3 linked regions of the Caenorhabditis elegans genome follow. The protein of the gene in region 1 purifies or fractionates together with the protein of each later gene. This does not show direct contact. Each region holds a gene or a part of one and is shown on either strand. Other genes may lie near its edges.

Evidence for each region.
Region 2: the proteins of ced-4 (region 1) and klf-1 fractionate together in Caenorhabditis elegans (co-fractionation; one large-scale study listed by BioGRID). This does not show direct contact.
Region 3: the proteins of ced-4 (region 1) and sec-16A.1 fractionate together in Caenorhabditis elegans (co-fractionation; one large-scale study listed by BioGRID). This does not show direct contact.

Annotation. Positions count from the first base shown.
Region 1 is NC_003281.10:4,850,486-4,855,478, forward strand, and holds ced-4 (Cell death protein 4), read left to right. Parts: upstream 1-1,839; coding exon 1,840-2,290; intron 2,291-2,341; coding exon 2,342-2,435; intron 2,436-2,480; coding exon 2,481-2,568; coding exon of another isoform or gene 2,569-2,570; intron 2,571-2,688; coding exon 2,689-2,823; intron 2,824-2,873; coding exon 2,874-3,211; intron 3,212-3,768; coding exon 3,769-4,044; intron 4,045-4,092; coding exon 4,093-4,198; intron 4,199-4,244; coding exon 4,245-4,472; downstream 4,473-4,993. Other genes in the region: F26A1.1 (Non-structural maintenance of chromosomes element 4), read left to right, coding at 53-55, 105-156, 203-271, 337-438, 492-1,000, 1,202-1,297; C35D10.8 (PH domain-containing protein), read left to right, coding at 4,851-4,855, 4,951-4,993. UniProt on the Caenorhabditis elegans protein: Component of the egl-1, ced-9, ced-4 and ced-3 apoptotic signaling cascade required for the initiation of programmed cell death in cells fated to die during embryonic and postembryonic development.
Region 2 is NC_003281.10:2,872,915-2,880,817, reverse strand, and holds klf-1 (Kruppel-like factor 1), read right to left. Parts: upstream 6,001-7,903; 5' UTR 5,926-6,000; coding exon 5,790-5,925; intron 5,229-5,789; coding exon 5,056-5,228; intron 4,143-5,055; coding exon 3,950-4,142; intron 3,157-3,949; coding exon 3,076-3,156; intron 2,491-3,075; coding exon 2,194-2,490; intron 1,524-2,193; coding exon 1,086-1,523; intron 904-1,085; exon of another isoform or gene 830-903; intron 724-829; coding exon 634-723; intron 487-633; exon of another isoform or gene 480-486; coding exon 394-479; 3' UTR 142-393; downstream 1-141. UniProt on the Caenorhabditis elegans protein: Transcription factor which modulates genes involved in lipid metabolism and the phase I detoxification pathway, including cytochrome P450 oxidases.
Region 3 is NC_003281.10:9,124,041-9,131,307, reverse strand, and holds sec-16A.1 (Protein transport protein sec-16A.1), read right to left. Parts: upstream 5,470-7,267; coding exon 5,455-5,469; intron 5,082-5,454; coding exon 5,042-5,081; intron 4,988-5,041; coding exon 4,888-4,987; intron 4,829-4,887; coding exon 4,661-4,828; intron 4,616-4,660; coding exon 4,021-4,615; intron 3,975-4,020; coding exon 3,862-3,974; intron 3,817-3,861; coding exon 3,378-3,816; intron 3,329-3,377; coding exon 3,173-3,328; intron 3,128-3,172; coding exon 2,852-3,127; intron 2,806-2,851; coding exon 2,600-2,805; intron 2,553-2,599; coding exon 1,481-2,552; intron 1,426-1,480; coding exon 1,276-1,425; intron 1,224-1,275; coding exon 938-1,223; intron 889-937; coding exon 806-888; 3' UTR 501-805; downstream 1-500. Other genes in the region: ZK512.10 (DUF4752 family protein), read right to left, coding at 1-50, 103-215, 263-353, 400-414; Protein ced-11, read right to left, coding at 6,256-6,540, 6,589-7,155, 7,205-7,267. UniProt on the Caenorhabditis elegans protein: Plays a role in the organization of the endoplasmic reticulum exit sites (ERES), also known as transitional endoplasmic reticulum (tER).

The sequences.
Region 1 (4,993 bases):
AGTTCCGATAAACATTTACAGCTGTCACTCAATTAACCTATAACAATCCTGGATGGTGAGAGACTAGTATTTTAAAACATTTTTAATTGAATATATTATTCCAGGACGTTGGAATTGCGAGTACATCTAACACAAACGATGTGGAGTTTGACGATGGTATATATTATTGATTAACATTCACATGATAATGGTTTTCTTTCAGATTTCATCCGACATGCTCGTCACATGCCGATCAATAAATTAATTGAAGAGCTGGCAATGTTGGAACACGGTAAACCAGCTGTCAAGATTATCTTTTATTGATTTTATTTTAATTATTAAATTTAAATGTTTCAGACAATCATCCACTTTTACATACTGCTCGCCGGAACTTCGATAAAGATAGAAAAGTCCAGAAGGATCGAATTGAGTGCCATCGCGCGAGAGCCGAACTAAAAGGTATCTTTTGAATTGTTGAAAACTTTGAAAAGCTCAAAATACAAATTCTTTAGCAAAAAATGATTTCAATACAAGAAGTGCCGCAGATCAAGCAGAATGCACATTGCGGTTAACGGAATTGCTAGACGAATTCACGAAAAGGAGTGATGAAATGGACAAAACAGTTTTGCATGAATACGGAGTCATCGATATTCATAAACAACAGTCAGCTCCGCCTGTGTTCGAGTCCAACAAGAAAACTCTGCGAGGACGTGGAGGAGGACAGCTTGTTGAGCCAGTCACTTACTTCAATTCAAATCAGAATACTCGAATACCTGAATTCAAGCTGAATTTGTCTTTCGAAAATCCGAGAATTCGACAAGAGTTGGATATTATTATGAATCGGCCGAATTCGCGTCGAATCATTGTCTGTTCGGTATCGATTCAGAAACCGAAACTTGTGATCGATAACAAGTCATTCAAACACGGCGAAGATGTCTATGCGTATAACAGAATATTTGGAGAAATGCTCGCAAAACTCGAAATTGTCACCGATAAAATGATTAACTTGAAAGGGGCTAATGTAAGTTATCTGATGTTTCTACAATTAAAAAAATTGTTTTTTTTTCCAAATTAATTTTCGAAGATTAACGAAAAACGATTAAAAATCAATAAAACGCAATAAAGAGGGCTTGGCTTTCTTTTTAATTTAAATTATAATTTTTCTGATTGTTGTATGAAGCTACAAAATGTACTGTTTTTGTATTTGAATATTGTATTACAGGGTTGGGATTCTCGGCAAATATCAGCGACAGTGGAAGATTTAGAAGAAGGACGTGTGACAATCACTAAGCAAAGAGGAAAGGATAAAGGATTGTGATATTTCACTGTTTTACTCATTCGCTTTTTAAATAAGAACTATATGCCGATTTGCCGATATATTTTTGTTTATTAGGCCTCTCACATTCCTGTACAATGTTTCTACCAAATAAACTGCATTTTTATCTGAAAATTCGAATTTATTTTTGTCTACTTTTTACTCGTTGCATTCGAGATCAGCATATCTTCCGGTCTATTTATATTCAACGATTTTTATAAATTAGTACTCCTTCATGTTTAATTTCATTTTATCTGTAAGCTTTACTGTATTTTTTTAAAATCTTTCTTGCTTCTATCTGATTATACAATGTTCTTTACTCATTTTCAAGGTATTTTTATGCCTCACAATTTATGCACATTTCGGGCTTGGAGATTTATCCTCTATATTACATGCCTGTTTTTTTAAAGTGTATATAATGTTTAACAAATAATTTTTTATCAATGCTATTGTATATTCTCCAGCTAACCGTTGTTTCGAAAACATCACCTAGCATTTTAAAATTCACAAAATCTTGCTTCCTTATAATCAAGAAGATTTTTCAGATGCTCTGCGAAATCGAATGCCGCGCTTTGAGCACGGCACACACGAGGCTCATCCACGACTTTGAACCACGTGACGCATTGACTTATTTAGAAGGCAAAAACATTTTCACAGAAGATCATTCTGAACTTATCAGTAAAATGTCAACTCGCCTCGAGAGGATCGCCAATTTTCTTCGAATCTATCGACGTCAAGCTTCTGAACTTGGACCACTCATCGACTTTTTCAACTACAACAATCAAAGTCACCTTGCTGATTTCCTCGAAGACTACATCGATTTTGCGATAAATGAGCCAGATCTACTTCGTCCAGTAGTGATTGCTCCACAATTTTCCCGACAAATGCTCGATAGGAAACTATTGCTTGGGAATGTTCCAAAACAAATGACATGCTATATTCGAGAGTATCACGTGGATCGAGTGATCAAAAAGCTCGACGAGATGTGTGATTTAGGTGAGAAAACTGGAAGCTCTCGTGTTTATTATAATCTTGCTTAAACTTCAGACTCCTTTTTTCTGTTTCTACACGGCCGAGCTGGATCCGGAAAATCAGTAATTGCATCACAAGCTCTTTCGAAATCTGACCAACTTATTGGAATGTGAGTGGTATTATCTGAATCCTACGGATCTTCATTCTATTACAGAAATTATGATTCAATCGTTTGGCTCAAAGATAGTGGAACAGCTCCAAAATCTACATTCGATTTATTTACGGATATTTTGCTGATGCTAAAGTGAGTGAATAGAGTGCATGTAACATTCAGCATGATTTTGAAATTATGAAAATTTGACCTGGTTAGCTTTTAATTTGATATTTCGTGACGCTTGCATGTTTTGTGTGTTTGAAGACGAGCCCGTGTTGTGAGCGACACGGATGACTCGCATTCGATCACCGACTTCATTAACCGTGTTCTTTCAAGAAGCGAAGACGATCTTCTCAATTTCCCATCGGTGGAGCATGTCACGTCAGTTGTACTCAAAAGGATGGTAAGTTGCTTGCCGATTCTGGTACAATATCTTAAATTATTGGTTTTTAGATCTGCAACGCACTCATTGATCGTCCAAATACTTTATTCGTATTTGATGACGTAGTTCAAGAAGAAACAATTCGTTGGGCTCAGGAGCTACGTCTTCGATGTCTTGTAACTACTCGTGACGTGGAAATATCAAATGCTGCTTCTCAAACATGCGAATTCATTGAAGTGACATCATTGGAAATCGATGAATGTTATGATTTTCTAGAAGCTTATGGAATGCCGATGCCTGTTGGAGAAAAAGAAGAAGATGTGCTTAATAAAACAATCGAACTAAGCAGTGGAAATCCAGCAACGCTTATGATGTTTTTCAAGTCTTGTGAACCGAAAACATTTGAAAAGTGAGTGGGACATACCAATTTGAGACTTTTAAAATAATTTATTCTACAATAAAAGTTAATCAAAAAGTTTCATAGCTGATTGTCTTTAAATTTTACGAATTGAGGATCAAAATCAAGAATTAGGATCCTGGCACGAGAGAAAACTGTGTAGCTACCGTACCCGAGAGATTTTCTTGATATTTGCCATCGATTTAATTTTTTAAGAAAATTATCGTTTTACATAATTGAACAAGAGATACACGGTCTCGACCCGACGGAAATTTTTTAAATGAAAGCGAGTATGAGCCTGTTTTCATTATTTTTCGATTTTCTCTTGTTGTTTCTTTTTATTTAAAGCCTTTTATTTTGAAACAAGTCTAAAAATATTAAAAACTGAATAAAATATTTAAAAAAAATCAAGTAAAATAGAAAAACAGCAAGGCTGGAGACTACTGTACTTCTTAAATCCGCATACTCTTTTTATTTAATCATTTTCCGGAATGTCGAAACGAAATAATACATTTTTAGTCCAAAATCGCTAGGTATATTCTTAAAATTATCAAACATTTTGCATTCAGAATGGCACAGCTTAATAACAAATTGGAAAGTCGAGGATTAGTCGGTGTTGAATGTATCACCCCTTACTCGTACAAGTCACTCGCAATGGCTCTTCAAAGATGTGTTGAAGTTTTGTCAGATGAGGATCGAAGTGCTCTTGCTTTCGCAGTTGTGATGCCTCCTGGAGTTGATATACCCGTCAAGCTATGGTCATGTGTTATTCCAGTTGATATTTGTTCAAATGAAGAAGAACAATTGGATGATGAAGTTGCGGATCGGTTGAAAAGACTCAGCAAGTATGAGTCTTGAAATTTGAAGATTTAAATTAACACTTAAAATTTCAGACGTGGAGCTCTTCTCAGTGGAAAACGAATGCCCGTTTTGACATTCAAAATTGATCATATTATCCATATGTTCTTGAAACACGTCGTTGATGCACAAACTATCGCCGTATGCTGAAAATGTCTCAACTTTCAATTAAATTTTAAATTTTCAGAATGGAATCTCAATTCTCGAGCAGCGTCTTCTTGAAATAGGAAACAATAATGTATCAGTACCGGAGCGACATATACCATCACATTTCCAAAAATTCCGTCGTTCATCAGCCAGTGAGATGTATCCAAAAACTACAGAAGAAACTGTGATCCGTCCTGAAGACTTCCCAAAGTTCATGCAATTGCACCAGAAATTCTATGACTCCCTCAAAAATTTTGCATGCTGTTAAAACCTATCGTGTACAATATTGCCTGTATATTCCCCTCGAAATACGTTTATACTTTTTCGCACGAGTTTTCTCATTTTTTCATTTGTACTTGTTTTATTTCTCTCCAAAATTTCAGATCTATCCCAAATGTTCTTAAATTTAATGTTTTCTACAGATACTCAACACATCTTGTTTCATCTCATCCTTGCTTTTTTTTTTCAAATATATTCAGTTTCTTTTATAATTTTAATTAATCGAATTAATACATTCACGTAAAGAATTTCGTGGACTATTATTTTATCGCATCCAAATGATTTATTCCCTATTGTTCGAAACTTCCAAATTGATCATTTTTAAACACGCCTCATTAAATTGAAAGTCGTACTTTTAGTCTCGAACATGAAGTAAGTTATTTTCTGTGTTCTAAATTCAAAGTGCATTCCAAAAGGACATTTGATGAGTTTTCACGAAAACCGTAATTTTTACAATTTCCTTTCAGTTTTGAAGATGTTCGATTTCTTTCCTCTGTTGGCGTCATTACT
Region 2 (7,903 bases), 2.0 Mb from region 1:
TGAATAATTTTGAAAGGCTCAAAACCTTTCCAATTTGGTTTTTTTTCAAATTACTAATCTCTGAAAAATCAAAAAAAAAAACACAGAAAAAAAAATCGATATGTATTTATTGATTTCCACGTGGGGGGGGGGGGGGAAAGTGAAATGTGACAAAAATTAATATGACCGTATTTAGTGATGATACCAAGCATTTTTTGAGCAAGAAAACATTCAAAAAACTGTAAAAATGACGTCACGATGTTGAGACGTGACTGGCGGGAAGTTTGAAAATTTTTGAAAAAAAAAACTTTTTTCAAAAATTTTCCAAAAAAAATGTAATGACCGGATAAAAAGTTGAGAAATACATTTTGGGAACCCGTAATTAGTTAATCTGTTGCACCATGTTTTTTTTGATTAGAAGTGGCGTTTCATATGGAGTGAGAGATGATCACTTCGGGAGAAGGCACGTGAACATTGAGAGCACTTGAATGGGCGGTCTCCTGAAAAAAACAATTATTTTTGTTTTTCTTAGCATTGCAGTGCATAATTTAAATAGAGCTCGACGAGAGCTTTCATTTAAGTATAATCATGACTAGGTTTGGGAAAATTTGAAAATTTTTAGGTGTATGCGCCTTTAATTCACTCAAAAATTACCTGTATGTTTCCTATAGTGCCTTGTTAGCTCGTCAGATCTAGCAAATCGCCAATCACACCCGTCCCAACTGCATTCGTATGGTTTTTCACCTGAAAAATGATTTTTTTCATCAAAAAATTTCTAAAAACAACTTTAAAGAGAAGTTATCAAGATTTAAAACTGAAATTTTCAAACTTTTCATCCAGAAAAACCTATATCCTTCGACAAAGAATCGAACCTGTGACCTTCTGGGTCATAGTCTGACATCTTACCGACTGCGCCACGCGCGCACTGCGTGCCGCGCCAGTTGCTGGGCGCGACGGCGCTGGTGGCGCAATAGGTAAGAGAGATGACTGAGACCCAGAAGGTCCCAAGTTCGATTCTTTCTGCATGTTTTTGGTTTTTTCTGGGTGTAATGATTGCTTTTTCAATCTAGAAAATATTTTGTTCAGTACAATTAACAAAGTATTACCTGTATGAGTTCTAAAATGAGCCTTCAAATGTGAGCTTTTCGTGTAGACTTTCCCGCAATTCGGATGTGTGCAATGGTGAAGCCTCTTGACAGATGGTTCAGAAGCATCATATGATGAGCTCGGGCTCGGCTCGCAATTTGAATCCTCGAGGGAAGAGTCCACGTGGAGTCTTTGCGAGGCTTCTGCCATGTGGGTTTGATGCTCTTCCATTTGTTTTTTGATAGCATCCAACTGAGTTTTGATGGCCATCGGATCGACTTGACCATTTGCGTCTGGCATTACAGCTAGACACGCTGAAGCCGTCAGTTCGTCTATTTTTCGCTTAAACTCCAAGGGGTCAAAGTTTTGGTAGACGAAGGAGTTCACAGAGCTGGATACTGAGCTGGGAAGGTCTGATGTTGATGACACACTTTCTACGTTCACTGTGAGAGGTTCGTCTAAAAATTAAAAAACATTTGAAGTTTTGATTTTTCAAAAAAATATTTTGAAAAAAAATATTTTGGAGAAAATTTTTTTCAGCACAAAATTGGTATTATAATTATCTTGTTTTCAAGTTTTGGATATTTTATTGTAGTCAGCTTGTTAAGACCTTTCAAGTGACCCCCATCATGCTAGGTTCTCCCCATGTTGGGTCCCACCACGAAAATTCCCCAGGAGTACTGTAGTTTTCGTGGTGGGACCCAAAATGGGCAGAGCCTAGACATCATGGGGGTCATTCGAAAGCTCTTGATGTGATGAACGCGAAAAAAGGTTATTTTTCGAAAAATTATTTTTGAACTAAAAAAATATTTTTTACCTTAATTTTGTTTTTATCGCTCTCAACTCATCAAGAGCTTCAAAATAACACCCATCATGCCTAGGTTCGGCATATTTTTAAATTTTTAACCCTATGCGCCTTTAAATTCTGGTTCTCGCGGTGAGACCCAAAGTGGGCGGGGCCAAGGCAAGATCGGTGTCATTTGAAGGATCTTGACGAGCCGAGAATAGTTAAATTGTGAAGTTTGACGACTTTTTTTAATTTTGAAGAAAAAATTTTGAAAAAAAATTTTGTGGAAAATTTTTTTTCCAGAATTAAAAAAAAAATTTTCCGCAATTTCAAAACCTTACCTCTTAAATCAAAATTCATTGCGGATCTTTTGACACACGGACTTGTCGGACTATCCATGTCAGCATCCTCCACAACAATACTCTCATGATCCTGATGGCCTGAATCTCCGGAGCTCGAGGAAGCGATATCGAAATTTGAAGTCGAATGAATCAGCCGAATTGGGACATTTCTAGCCATATTCAGGTTAAGATTTCGAGATTGTGGAAGCGGGTCTCGATTCAGAATGTCGGAAATCAAATGGCCCCCGGGGCGCCGGGTATCCAGATTTTCTCGAAGCAGGACTGGAGCGAACGCACCTGAAAATGATTTTTACTTTGAAAATTTGAATCAAGCTAGCCAAGAGCTTTCATTTAAGTATAATCATGACTAGGTTCTGACGATTTTGAACTTTTCAATAAATTTCCGGGTCCCACCACAAAAACTACAGTATCTCTCATTTCTTGTCATACAATACACTTTAAACTAAAAATATGAATTCAGCACACTGAGAGCTTCAAAATAACACCCATCTTGGCTAGGTTAGGTTAAGTTTGAAATTTTCAAACCCTATGCGCCTTTAAATTTAGATTTTCGTGCCGGGACCCAACAAGTTGAAAATTGAAGATCAATATAAAGTTTTAGGCATCGTGAATGCTAATAAAATTTTAAATGAACAGATGAAATATTTGTCAGTGACCTCTAAGCCTGCACTTCCGGGTCCCGCCACGAAAATCAAAATTTAAAGGCACATAGGTGCTTTAAAATTTAAACTCACTGGAACCTAGTCATGATGGGTGTTATTCAAAAGCTCTTTGCACGACAAATTCAATTTTTTCTATAATTTTCAAAAAAAAATTAGTTAGAAAGTTTAAAAAATTGAAAATTGAAAAAAAATCACAAACTTTTCTTGACTTGCATGCCCTGAAAAGCTGCTCCGAGAGCTGTCGTCGGTGTGTTGAATCCGGAAAATGACGACATTGACTCTGAAAAATATATGACAATTTTTACAAATTCGGAGGGTGTTTTGCAGGGGTGTCCCTGATAAGAAATTTTCTTTAGGCGTTTTCTTTTTTTTAGGTGATAAATTTAGTTGAGTTTTTAATTTTTGCAGAAGAATATGATTTCTTCTGCACATTTTGAAATGGGAATGGTTCCGATATCTTGAAAACTGGCAGAGTTATCGATTTTCGAAAAATTTCGAAAAATTTAAAATCGAAAACCTTTAAATTTTAACGCAGAGATTGAACTTAAAACTTCAAAACAATTAAATTCGAACTCAGCACGTTGAGAGCTTTCAAATGACACCCATCATGCCTAGGCTGCGTCAATTTTAGGTCCAACCACGAAAACTACAGTACTCCCGGGGAATTTTCGTGGTGGGACCCAAAATTTTCCAAACCTAGTCATGATTATATATATTTTTCTGAAAGCACGTAAAATTTACAATTCGAATAGTTTGAAAACTTGTGAGAAATACTGATAGTTTTCGTGGTGGCACCCAAAATTGTGGGCAAATTTTCGACAATTTTCGAAAATCGATAACTCAGCGAAAAATTGAGATTTACATAAGATTTTTTGTTTGACAAACACAACAGAAATTGTTCTTTCAGACAAAAATACTTTTCGCAGCCTGGAAACTGTACCTACAGTACCCCAGATCTTTTTCGTGGCAAGACCCAAGAAATTTTCAAAATTTTCAAACCTTGGCATGATTATACTTAAATTAAAGCTCTCAAAACGCTGAATTCAGATTTTTCAATCAAAAATAAAACCCACTCTGATGCTCTGCAATAAAATCACTTTTGATCTGTTCCAGACGGTCATTAAATGAAGTTGTCGGTTGGAAAAGGCTCTGAGTTGAGTCAAAATGTGAATTTTTATATGGTGCAAATGCAGAAAAGTCCGATTGTCTTTCGAAAACCGATGAAGAACTTGAACTTGTTGCTGCTCCGCTATCATTTCCAAATGTCTGCAAAAAAAACACATTTTTAAAGGATTTTTCAATTTTTCCATATTTAAATCTGATTTTTATGCTTAGGCTTGAGCTCAGGCTTAGGCTTAGGCTTTGGAGTCAACTTCGGCTTAGGCTTAGGCTTCGGCTTAGGCTTAGGCTTCGGTTTAGACTTAGGCTGAGACTTAAGCTCCTGCTTAAGCTTACACTTAGGCTTTGGCTTATGCATACGCTTTAGCCTAGGATTAGGCTTAACCTCAGCCTTAGGCTTAGGCTTAGGCTTAGGCTTATGTTTATCTATTTCTTGGTCTTTTTTCGAAATTTTGCGGTTAATAAAAGTTTTTTTTGTGAAATCTGTTCCATTCTAATATCGATTAATTAGTCTTTCGTAGGAAGATGAACAATCCGGTCTAGATTTTCTCTATTTTCTCAGCGCTCTCTCAATCTTATCAATCACTCTCTCTCTCTCTCTCACTTTATGTATGTGTTTCGGTAGATAGAAAGAGAGGCGCCAACGCCCAATGTTCTCCCTACTCTCTTTCTCTGCGTACTCTCTCACTCTCTCACTCTCATTTTTCTTTTTCTTGCGAAACAAGACGGTCGCCGCCGCCGACATCAAGAAAAGACGGTAACCACACCCAAAAAGGCGGGAAAATTGAGAGTGACAAAGAGACTGAGAGATAAGAGGGTTAAAGGACATGTGACTACTGTAGCTTTGAAATTTTGGTGGTTTTTCGTTGTGGGACCTTGAAAATATGAAAATCAAATTCAGCTGGGTGAGAGCTTTCATTTAAGTATAATCATGACTAGGTTTTGAGAGGGAGTCTTAAAAAAATTTAATTTCCGGGTCCCGCCACGAAAATCAAAGTTTAAAGGTGCATAGGCCTAACATAATATAACCAAGATAGCTGTATCTCAAAAAAAAACGAACATTTTCTAGCTTCCTCCTCAACGCGTTGGCCTTCAGCCTTTCGTAGGCACTTGTGCTCTCGGAAAGTTCCCGAATTGATTCGTAAAATTGATGTCCGAATTGATTAAAGCTTCTTGTTGCTTCATGTATCCGCTGTTCAGCATCGTCGTTTTCAGATGAAATTGAGGAGAGGCCTGAAAATTTGAAGATTTTTGGTTATATTTTTGCAAAAAAATTCAACGTTTTCTGCACATTTTGAAATTGGAATAGTTCAAATATCTTAAAAACTCGCAGAGTTATCGATTTTCGAAAAATTTCGAAAAATTTCAAAAAATCAAAACTTTTAAGGCACAGCTTGAACTTGAAACTTCAAAACTGTTAAATTTGAACTTAGCACACTGAGAACTTTCAAATGACACCCATCATGCCTAGGCTCCGTCAATTTTAGGTCCCACCACGAAAACTACAGTACTCCCGGGGAAATTTCGAAATTTTCGAAACATAGCCATGATTATACTTTTCTGAAAGCTCGTGAAATTTTAAATCTGATTATTTTTAAATTTCGGGCTAGAAAGTCATAGTTTTCGTGGTGGGACACATTTTTATTGAAAATTTTTTGTAATTTTTCGAAATTCGATAACTCAGCGAAAAATTAAGATTTTCACTTAATTTTTTCTATGGCAAACACAACAAAATTTATTCTATCAGGAAAACATATTTTCAGTGATGGTATTAAATAAAAAAACATCTCTCACCTGGTTGAAAAAAAGACGGTGACAAATGTACTGATCTATCCGCCCGCGCCAATGGATCAATTGATAATGATGGTTTATTAGGAATGTGTATTAATGGTTCCCGTGATGACGTGGCATTTATCGATGATGACGTCATCGTGGATGACGTGGAATTGAATTGTAGTGTACTTGATGAGGAGCTGAGTGACCCGGAGCCTTCCGGCCCAAACATCTGCAAAAATCGATATTTTTATAGATTTTTTAGAGGGGAAATGGGTAAATTGTGAAAAAGTACATAAGAAAATCTAAATTTGAGAAAATTTTGAAATAATTATTTTTTGAAAAAATTTGAAAAAAAAAATTTTGAAAAAAATTTCAATTTTTTGCTTTTCGATCTTTTGCTCATTTTTGAAGATTTCGATTTTAAGTTTGGTTTTCAATCTATGAAAAAAATTTTTTAAAGTGATTTTTCCCTAAAAACCCCAACAAAAATTTCCAAAAAAGGCGTAGTCTTTTACATTTTCGAGGGTAATGCATCGCCTCCTCAACACACAGCCGAAACAAAAAAAAAAGATAAAAACCGAAACAAAAAACTTGATAAAGGAATAAGAAAATGAAGAAATAGACAGAAACGCAGAGATACACAGAATCGGCCGAAAAAAAAATGGTAGGGAAAATGAATTGTCAGCTGAGAACGGGAACAGGAGAACGTGTCATGTGACATTTATGATTTTTGATTAGAAAATCAGAGGAATTTCTTGAAAAATCTCTAAAAATCAATAAAAATCTATCATTTTTCGTTTTTGCAAAATTGGAAAAAAACAATTTCGAGTTTTTGGCCTAGTGGCTAACAGAGTTGGCTGGGACTCACAAGGCCGGGGCTCGAATCCCCGATGGGGTCAAAATTTTTGTCGAGTTTTGTTTGCATTGTTTATGCTTTGAAAATTGACATGGTAGACGCTTTGACTTTGAAAATGAAAATTCACAAAAAAAAATCGAGATTTTAGTTCATTTCCCGAAAAATATCGATTTTCAGAAATATTTACATAAAAATTCGGGTTTTCCACGAAATTTCCGTCAATTTGAGACCCATATCGATTTTTTCAAAAAAATTAAATTTTTGGCCTTGTGGTTAACACGGATGGGTGGGACTCACAACACCGGGGTTCGAACCCCCGCTGGGGTCAAAACTTTTTTCCAATTTTTTTTTGGTATGTCAGAGATTTTTATTAACAACATTTAGTTCAAACCGTAGCGGACTGAAATTTGGTTTTTTTTTAATTTTTTACTTTGAAATTTTCAAAATTAAAAAAAAACAATTTTCAGCAAAAACGAATCGATTTTACAGAGTGAGAATAGAAAGTGAAAATAGTTGAAAAAACTAGAAGTATTAATGAGACAGAACTAACTACACGTCGATTGTAAATGTGATGTGACAGTTAGTTTGAGACGCACAGAAGAAACAAGAAAAAGATGAAAAAAGAAGAGAGAGAAATGAAAAAGGAACTGAACTATATAAGAACAATCTTCCAAATTAATCGATAGTTACACTAAATTTCGGCGGGATTTGTTAAAATAAAATTTGTGAAAATAAAAACTAGTGATTTTCCGGAATTTTCATATAAAAATTCGAGTTCCCAATAAAATTTCCGTTAATTTGACAACCATATCAGCTATTTTTGAATCATTTTGAAAAACATTTGAAACATTGAATTTTTGGCTTAGTGGATAACACTGGTGATTGGTAATCTCAACACCGGGGTTCGACCCCCACTGTGGTCGACGTTTTTTTTTTCGGTTTTTTACACATTGTTTACAGACTAAAAATGTGTCGAAACTTGAAAATTTAAAAAATAATAGTTGAACTTTTGGCCTGGTGGATAACAGAGATGACTACCACCCACAACACCTGGGTTCGAGTCCCCACTGTGGTAACTTTTTTTCTTATGTTTGATATCTCATCTACACTGGCCTCAGCGTGTTTAAAATGCCTTCTTTATGTAAAAAAGGCGGAAAATGGGTAAAAATTGATGAACCGCATCGAAATGAGTCTTTATCTCGGTGACAGCGACGGGAAATTTAGTTCTAGTGTTCCGCAAAATCGAGAAACTCAAATTAAAATGTTTTTAAGGTCA
Region 3 (7,267 bases), 4.3 Mb from region 1:
CAGTGAGCTACTTCAATCCCATCTCCCATTTCGAACGTAATTGGTGATCTCTGAAATTTTGGAAATATACACATTTATTCAATTAGTCTCAATAAAACTCACGACGCTACTCTTTCTATAGCTTCTAACACTATTTTTATCAGTACGAATACCGTAGTGATCAGCGACCGAAGGTGAATGTTTCGCTGCTCCATTCACTGCGATAGATGCTCCTTCTGAAAATCTTTTTTCTGGAAACTGCCTGAAAATAATTGTGACCTACTGGCTACGGTATCCCACCAAGTAGTCATTCTGAGCGAGTTGTAGAGAGAAAAACCGACGAGAAGAAGCTCGAAGAGCACTGAGTACCAAGACTTTAAATATTCGAACATCAATCAGAAATATTAAGAGAAAACTCACGTCCAGTTGATACATTTTCGAATTTGCGAAATAATGGTATTCGATTAGTTTTTTGTTTTGTTTTTAATTCGATTTCAAATGTAAAATTCAAATAGTGATTTCACGGTACATTATATTTATTCATTTCAGTATATATTTATTTACCAGAGAATCAATTCAGAGCACATATTTTCTCGTCAGAACAAAGAAAAACTAGCCTACTTATTTTTCAGATAAAACCGTAACATATATAGTTGCACAACAAAAAAGAAGGAAGATACTATGGAATAATCACAGAAGTTTTTAGAGGAAACGGGCCTGACCAGATAACAGGAAATGGTTATTTGAAAGAATGATAGTGGGTGGGAGGGGGATACAAAAGGCGATGGGGACGACAACACATATAATTTGGAAGAATTGAAGCATATTAATCGTTATTCTGTTTGGATAATGATTCGGAAGGAGCCGTTGGTTCACCGCTGAATGGATCAACATATTCGGAGGAATCATCTGAAAATGAAATTAATTGAAGAAAAAACTAATTCTCAATTAATTATACCTTCAGTGGGTGCAGGCATAAAGCTGAATGACATTGGCATGGTTGGAGGCATCATCGGTGGCATTCCAGTGTCCATAGCTGGTGCTTGGCTAGTGGCCATTCCCGATTGAAGATATCGTGATCCAACTCCACTTCTAGCACTTCGCAGACTATTCGTGCTCGATTTGTTAGAATCAGGACCTCCACCCATCAAATGAGGAGCTGACATGACTGGCGGTGGAGCAGCTACGACCTCTTCTTCTACTCCAGCACCAACATATCTTTTCTGAACAGGATCCCAAACGATCTGAACAAATGAATATTTGATATTCAAAAAATCGGCTTTCAAATTAACATACACTTGGCTTTGAATCGTCAGGCAGGATCATTTGGTTTGCTGATGGAATCGATTTGATGACTTTTTCCTTAATCGATCCGAACCATCCTTTAGATGCTTTTCGTTCATTCAATGCAAGTTCAGGTTGTTTCTGTGGGACAGGCGGCGCAGTCTTTAATAATTAAAAATAATTACTTGTCATTCTGAAGGTTTCACAGAAAACTCACAGTTTTAGCATTTGGAATAGATGCTTGTCCTAGTGTTGCTTGTTGAAGAACCGGAGCAGAAGAAACGGCTGGTGGTGGTGTTGGTACACTTGGAGCTGTTGGGTTTGCAAAGTTAGGTGCAGGCGAATAAGATGGTTGAATATTTCGCGGTGCAGGTGGATATGAAGTTTGATTGCTTGGCGGTGAAGTGTCCCATAAATCATCCAGTTCCGAACGAGGACTTTTTGCAATGCTGGCGTCAACAGGTTTCGGAATAGGAATAGGTTGAGGTGATACCATGATTGGAGTACTGACAGGTGGAATAGGCATCGATAACGTTGGCATCGGTGGCTTCACAATCGCTGGAGGCGTCATCTCAGGAACAACATTTTTAGAAATTGGTGGTGGTGTTGAGATTGGTTTTTCGATAGTTTTTGGAAGGGATGGTGGTGGTGGTAAAGTGGATGAGGTCAACGTTGAAGTTCTTGATGCTGACGCAGCGACAGTAACCGAAGAATCGGATTTATCTGTAAATGTCGATTCAGATGACGATTCAGTAACCAGGGTAGGTGGAGGCAAAGAAGCACGTCCGGGTGCAATTGGTTTCTCGACAGTTTTATCGTTATGTTGTTGATCGTTACGTGATCCAATCTCCAGCGGCGCTTGATGCTCATCATGCCATTTTTTAGCTTCAGACGAAATAGATTTGTTTTCCACTGGTTGTGGCTGTGGAACATGTTGTTGAGATTCTTGAACTGGAGCTGCACCTAGCATTCCTCTCATAGTTGTAATCCAACCACTTTCATCAGGAGTTGCGGCAGCCATGTATTGAAGACTCTCAGCCAGATCGCAAAGATCAAACATTGCATTTTTATCGAAAGCTGCGACATACATCCACAACGATCTTGCTACTTCTGTACAATATCTGAACGCATCCGTAGCAAATCCACCAAAAGACGACAGCTTCTTTGCGTATTCAATACGAGCTAACTGATAATCAATCGATTTTGCTAGTGGTGAATCGACATTGTTATTTCCCAGTCGGAGAGCATAATCAAAAATATCAGTAGCATGAAGATCAGTGAATGAGAATCTGAAAAGCATGTTTTATGTTATGCATATTGTGTTAAGTAATCTTACCCAGCGGTTCCTGATAGTCCATCAACTCGATTCAACAAGTTAGATCCACTATGCACAAGGCCGATGTGCTTTCTCGAAGTTTCATCTCCGTCGTGAGCCACTGGAATAAATGGATCATAACCAGCCAGAATGCATACAACAAGGAGACAGAAATCAGCAGCACAGTTTCGTTCTCTTTTTGCTAGGAGCAAGCCGAGATGATAGATCTGAAAAAAATTTTACAGTTTTAGTTTTGCTTTTCTCCTGCCGTACCGTTTGCATAGCGGTCTGCGAGTTTAGATTCGCAAGAACAATGGCCGCATGTCGTTTCCAATTGTTGTCATCATCGAACGCCGAATTCGTCAGAATCGGAGGTGGTTGATCACTTGAAACTGCAACCAGTGTTGCGAATGGATCGTCAATGGAACGAAGATTCATAAATCGTGCCTCGATTTCCTCAATTTTCTTAGCGTCATTTGGATGCAGTCTACGGATCAATGTCATTGCGTCGGCATAGAGTCCATCGGTTATAGCACTTTCAACAGCTTCCTGAAAAATTATAATTATTTAATTAACAAGATTAGACAAAATTACATTAATGTGACCACCAAGAAGATACTTATTGAACCGCTCCTTTGCTTCGAACTTCGAACCAGACTCGGATGTCCCATTGCTTGAAATTCCAGTTTTTTCACCAAGTTCTTCCGAGGCATTTGTCAGCAGTGTTGCTACATCGGGTCCGGTGACTCTCTTAAAATGTTAAATTCCTACTAAGTTCTCAAATTAAAACAATTCTTACTCCATGTTGCTGAACCATGATTTCGAGCAATTGCCAGACGAGAAGAGCATCCACCACCTCACTTTTCTTTACGTCACCAGCATTTCTGATCTGGCGAAGAGCGTCGATTTGTCGTTGGATGTAGAGACGAACGGAATGAGTTGGAGTTTGTCCAGCAATCAGTGGTCCTTTAAAGTTCTGAACTGATTCGATCACTTTTCCAGATTGTTCATCGAAATGAAGAAATGTTTTCAGATCATCCACATGAACGCTGGATGTACTTAGAACATGTCCAGTGATACTATCGATGGTTCCCGCTGGTTTAATGATCACCAATTTTCCTCCAACACCAATGGTAGCAAACTGAAGGCAGGAGTGATAATGAAGTGGTCCGTTGCTCAACACTTCTTCGGGTTGCGAGATGTTAAGTTTTGGCTCTTCGCGTTCCTCGATTTTATGCCTATAATAATATTTTTGCTCATTGTACCGTTGGTTCCATACTCACTGATTGAAATCCAGTTTCTCGCTCTCTGCAGCTTCTTGTCGTGCTTTTTCGTACGCCAATCTGTCGGCTTCCAGTTGCTTCAGGGAGAATTCTTCTTGCATCCGCTTGCAAACCTGTAATTTAAAATATGAAGCAATTCAATTTTGTCAGTAATCTTACCTTAAAAAGTGCCAGATCTTTAGAATCACCATACCCGCGGTAGGAGTAGAATTCACGATTAAAAATTACGTGAAACTCATCAATATTGTTGTAAGGTTTGTTATTAACGGCACAGTAGAATACATAAGCGACACGGTCGATTGGCGGCATCTTATAGTATTTTTCCGGAGGAGGCATCGTTCGGAACACATGATCAACAATAGCAGAGCCAAGTTTCACAACTCCGTAGTAATAGCTTTCACTTTCGCTATTATAAACTTCAGAGGCAAGGGTATTTGTTACACTCCTGGAGCCTTGTGCTCGTCCTTCCATATAAAAATTTCGTACTTCTTCCTCTTCTTCGTCTTCTTCCAGCTCTTCTGAAGTCTTATCAGACTCTCCACTATCATATACAAAACCATTTCTCATTGAAGATGCGTTCGCATATCTTTCAGCAGCAGTTGATCGTGGTCTCACAGGCTCACGGTGGTTGTTCGGCAGCAATCCCACACCAGCACGACTATTCGCGTAATCACTCGCATATCCAGATGCATTTCGAGCTGAAGGAGCACCAGAGAAACCTTCGCTTGGGCCACGTGAAGAGTTTTGGTGATATCTGCAAATTTCCATAATTAGAAGAAGAAACTCCCTTGTTTTAAACCTTGAATAAGTACGGTCATATCCATTGAAAGTTGAGTTGAGGCCTCTTGAACCATTACTCATTCCAGTACCCTGCCGGTTACTCTTTTGAGATACTGGGCGAGCTGGTTGAATAAGAATGGGTCTTCTTGGTTGTGGAATATCGTTGTCCAGCCGACTGCGTCGAGGCCTGAAAAAAAAGCGATGAAAAGATATCGATCGGCGTGTGAAATTCTTGTATTCACTGACCTTGAATGGTTAACGGATGAAGCGTCATCATCGCCTCCTCTAGAAGACGGAGGTGAAGCATTGTAAGGATTATTCCAGTCACTCATATCGAAACCAGAAGCTGAAAATGAATAGTGATTGATAAAAATTGTTGATAAATCGAATTTTATCATACCTCCGGCATTCATTCGTTGTTCATACTTCATAGAATCGATCTGTAATAAATTAGGCGAATATACAAGTTAAGTGTCGAGATGTTAAAGTCTGTTGGGTAAATATAGAGAGGCAGAAGACAAGGGAAGAAAAGAAAAGAAGGGGCAAATTGAGGTCAACCGTGTCACTTTAGTGCCAACACGGCGACGCAAAAATGCACGGAAAGGGCTGCTGTGGGGAATATGGGAAAATGGGAAAATTGAAAACAAGAATAGTTCAGTTTTCCTTTGTTGGAAGTGATACGAACAGGTGAAAGTGAATGGGAAAATGATATGAATTTTGTTTTTTATTCTTCCAAATGGTAAAATAAATTCGGTTTTTACTTGTTTTCTTAATGGCCTTAAGATTTAAAATTACAATTTTGGGAAATCTTACCCTGTATCGCCGCATTTTCCATTCGAAATCCATAAAAATCGTGGGTTTTTGGGAATTTCCAATTTAAAGTTCAATTCAAAACGCCGCACGGATGTGTTAAAAGCGCGGTGCCACGTGAAGCCAAGCTTAAAAATAAAATAAGACAAAAAGTTCACGCGAGAAATGAATAAACGCGAAAAAAGTTCGAGGTTGAATGAAAAAAATAACTGATAGAAAAACTGTCGTCAGTTTCGGTGCTTGCGGAGTGAACATTGTGTACCGTAGCCACAAAATCGTAAAATCGAAAGCAAGGATTTATTTATTTGTTAACAGAAACAAAGTTGTTTAATAAATACGAAGATTTGTTTTTTCACGAAAAGAACTTATTTTGCTAAGGTATCTTTTATCTCCGTGTCACACCTAAACGGACCAAAAATAACGGGAAAAACAAGGAAGATGACGATAATTAATTAATGAATATACATAATAATTGTGTTAAATTAAAGGAAATAATATTAAGTAATAAAGTGGCGACAAGGAGAAGTATTCTTGGTTCTCCGCATTCGCGACAGTTCTTACAGTTTTACTGCACAACACTCCGCAAACCTAACCAACAATCGCTCTACAATATTTAGAAAAATTTGTTTCAAAACTGCTACAGTACCCCTACATTTTTTGTTAGGCCTCTCATTATATGTGTTTTGGTGAGTGCTTTATTTTTATTCTTCCAAGCTTTATTAAATTATCTCTTAGCTATCAGCTTTAAAAAACAAACATCGAATAACAATTTAAGTGAATTCATAATTTATGAAAGTTGTAGCATTATAACCCGTATATTGTCTTTGCTCGGAAAACAAGATCTGCTTGCCATGGAAGCACTGTTCCACGAATTGCACTCGTAGGAAGCCACGAATAACCGATAATTGTGGTTATTATACGTCGTTCTCGGAGAGAAATAGCCCAAACATCATGCTCCGTCCACGCGTTGTCTGTATCGTTTTCATTTTCTGCAACTTCTGAAGCCAAATGAGCAGGACTCGTGTCATTGGATGGTATTCTTTTGTCCGCAGTGATAATTGAGCTATCCAAACGTCGCATTGAAAACATCTGAAAATACATCACAAATTTTTAAAAGTAATCTTTTTGGTTACTTACATGAGCGTCAGAATCTGAAATTCCAATCATCTTCAAAATAGATGTCAGATGTTCATCTTTCGACGAGTTCTCCAGATGCCATTCATTTGGAATATTCTTCTGACTATCAACTAGAACTTGACATTTCGCTTCAACTCCACCACTCAAAACGACATAATAACAACGTCGATTAGCACCAAATCTCGGATGATTTCCTCTTCCAGCCATTCCAGTTCGACCATTCGGATTCAATGGGAAGCCGGCAGCTGAGAGCTTCCAACATTTATCATTACTACTAGTAACATCATTTGCCTGACGGCTTCTCCAAATTCGTTTTAGTTCTCCAACATTTTGCTCCGTGGCAATATCAACATACTTTTGCACATCTGATGGAAAATCTTCCGCAGGCTTACAATAGAAGGGGGGATTGTATCTAGGTACAAGCACTGTCCATGGCTTAGACACCATGTTCACACTAATCTTCAGAATGTTACTTTCTGGGTATTTCTCGAAAAATTGAAGTTCTGAAGCTTTTCGTGTACCCGAATTTTCATATGAATCTCGCAAAGTCATCATTCGAATGTGGTTCTGAAATTATTTTCAGTTTTAAACTTGTGTTTAAAAAAATAAATCTTACATGAATATTATGAAGTTCCTGAAGTTCTGATTTGTTTGCTGATATCTTCGCTTTCTGCTGTGT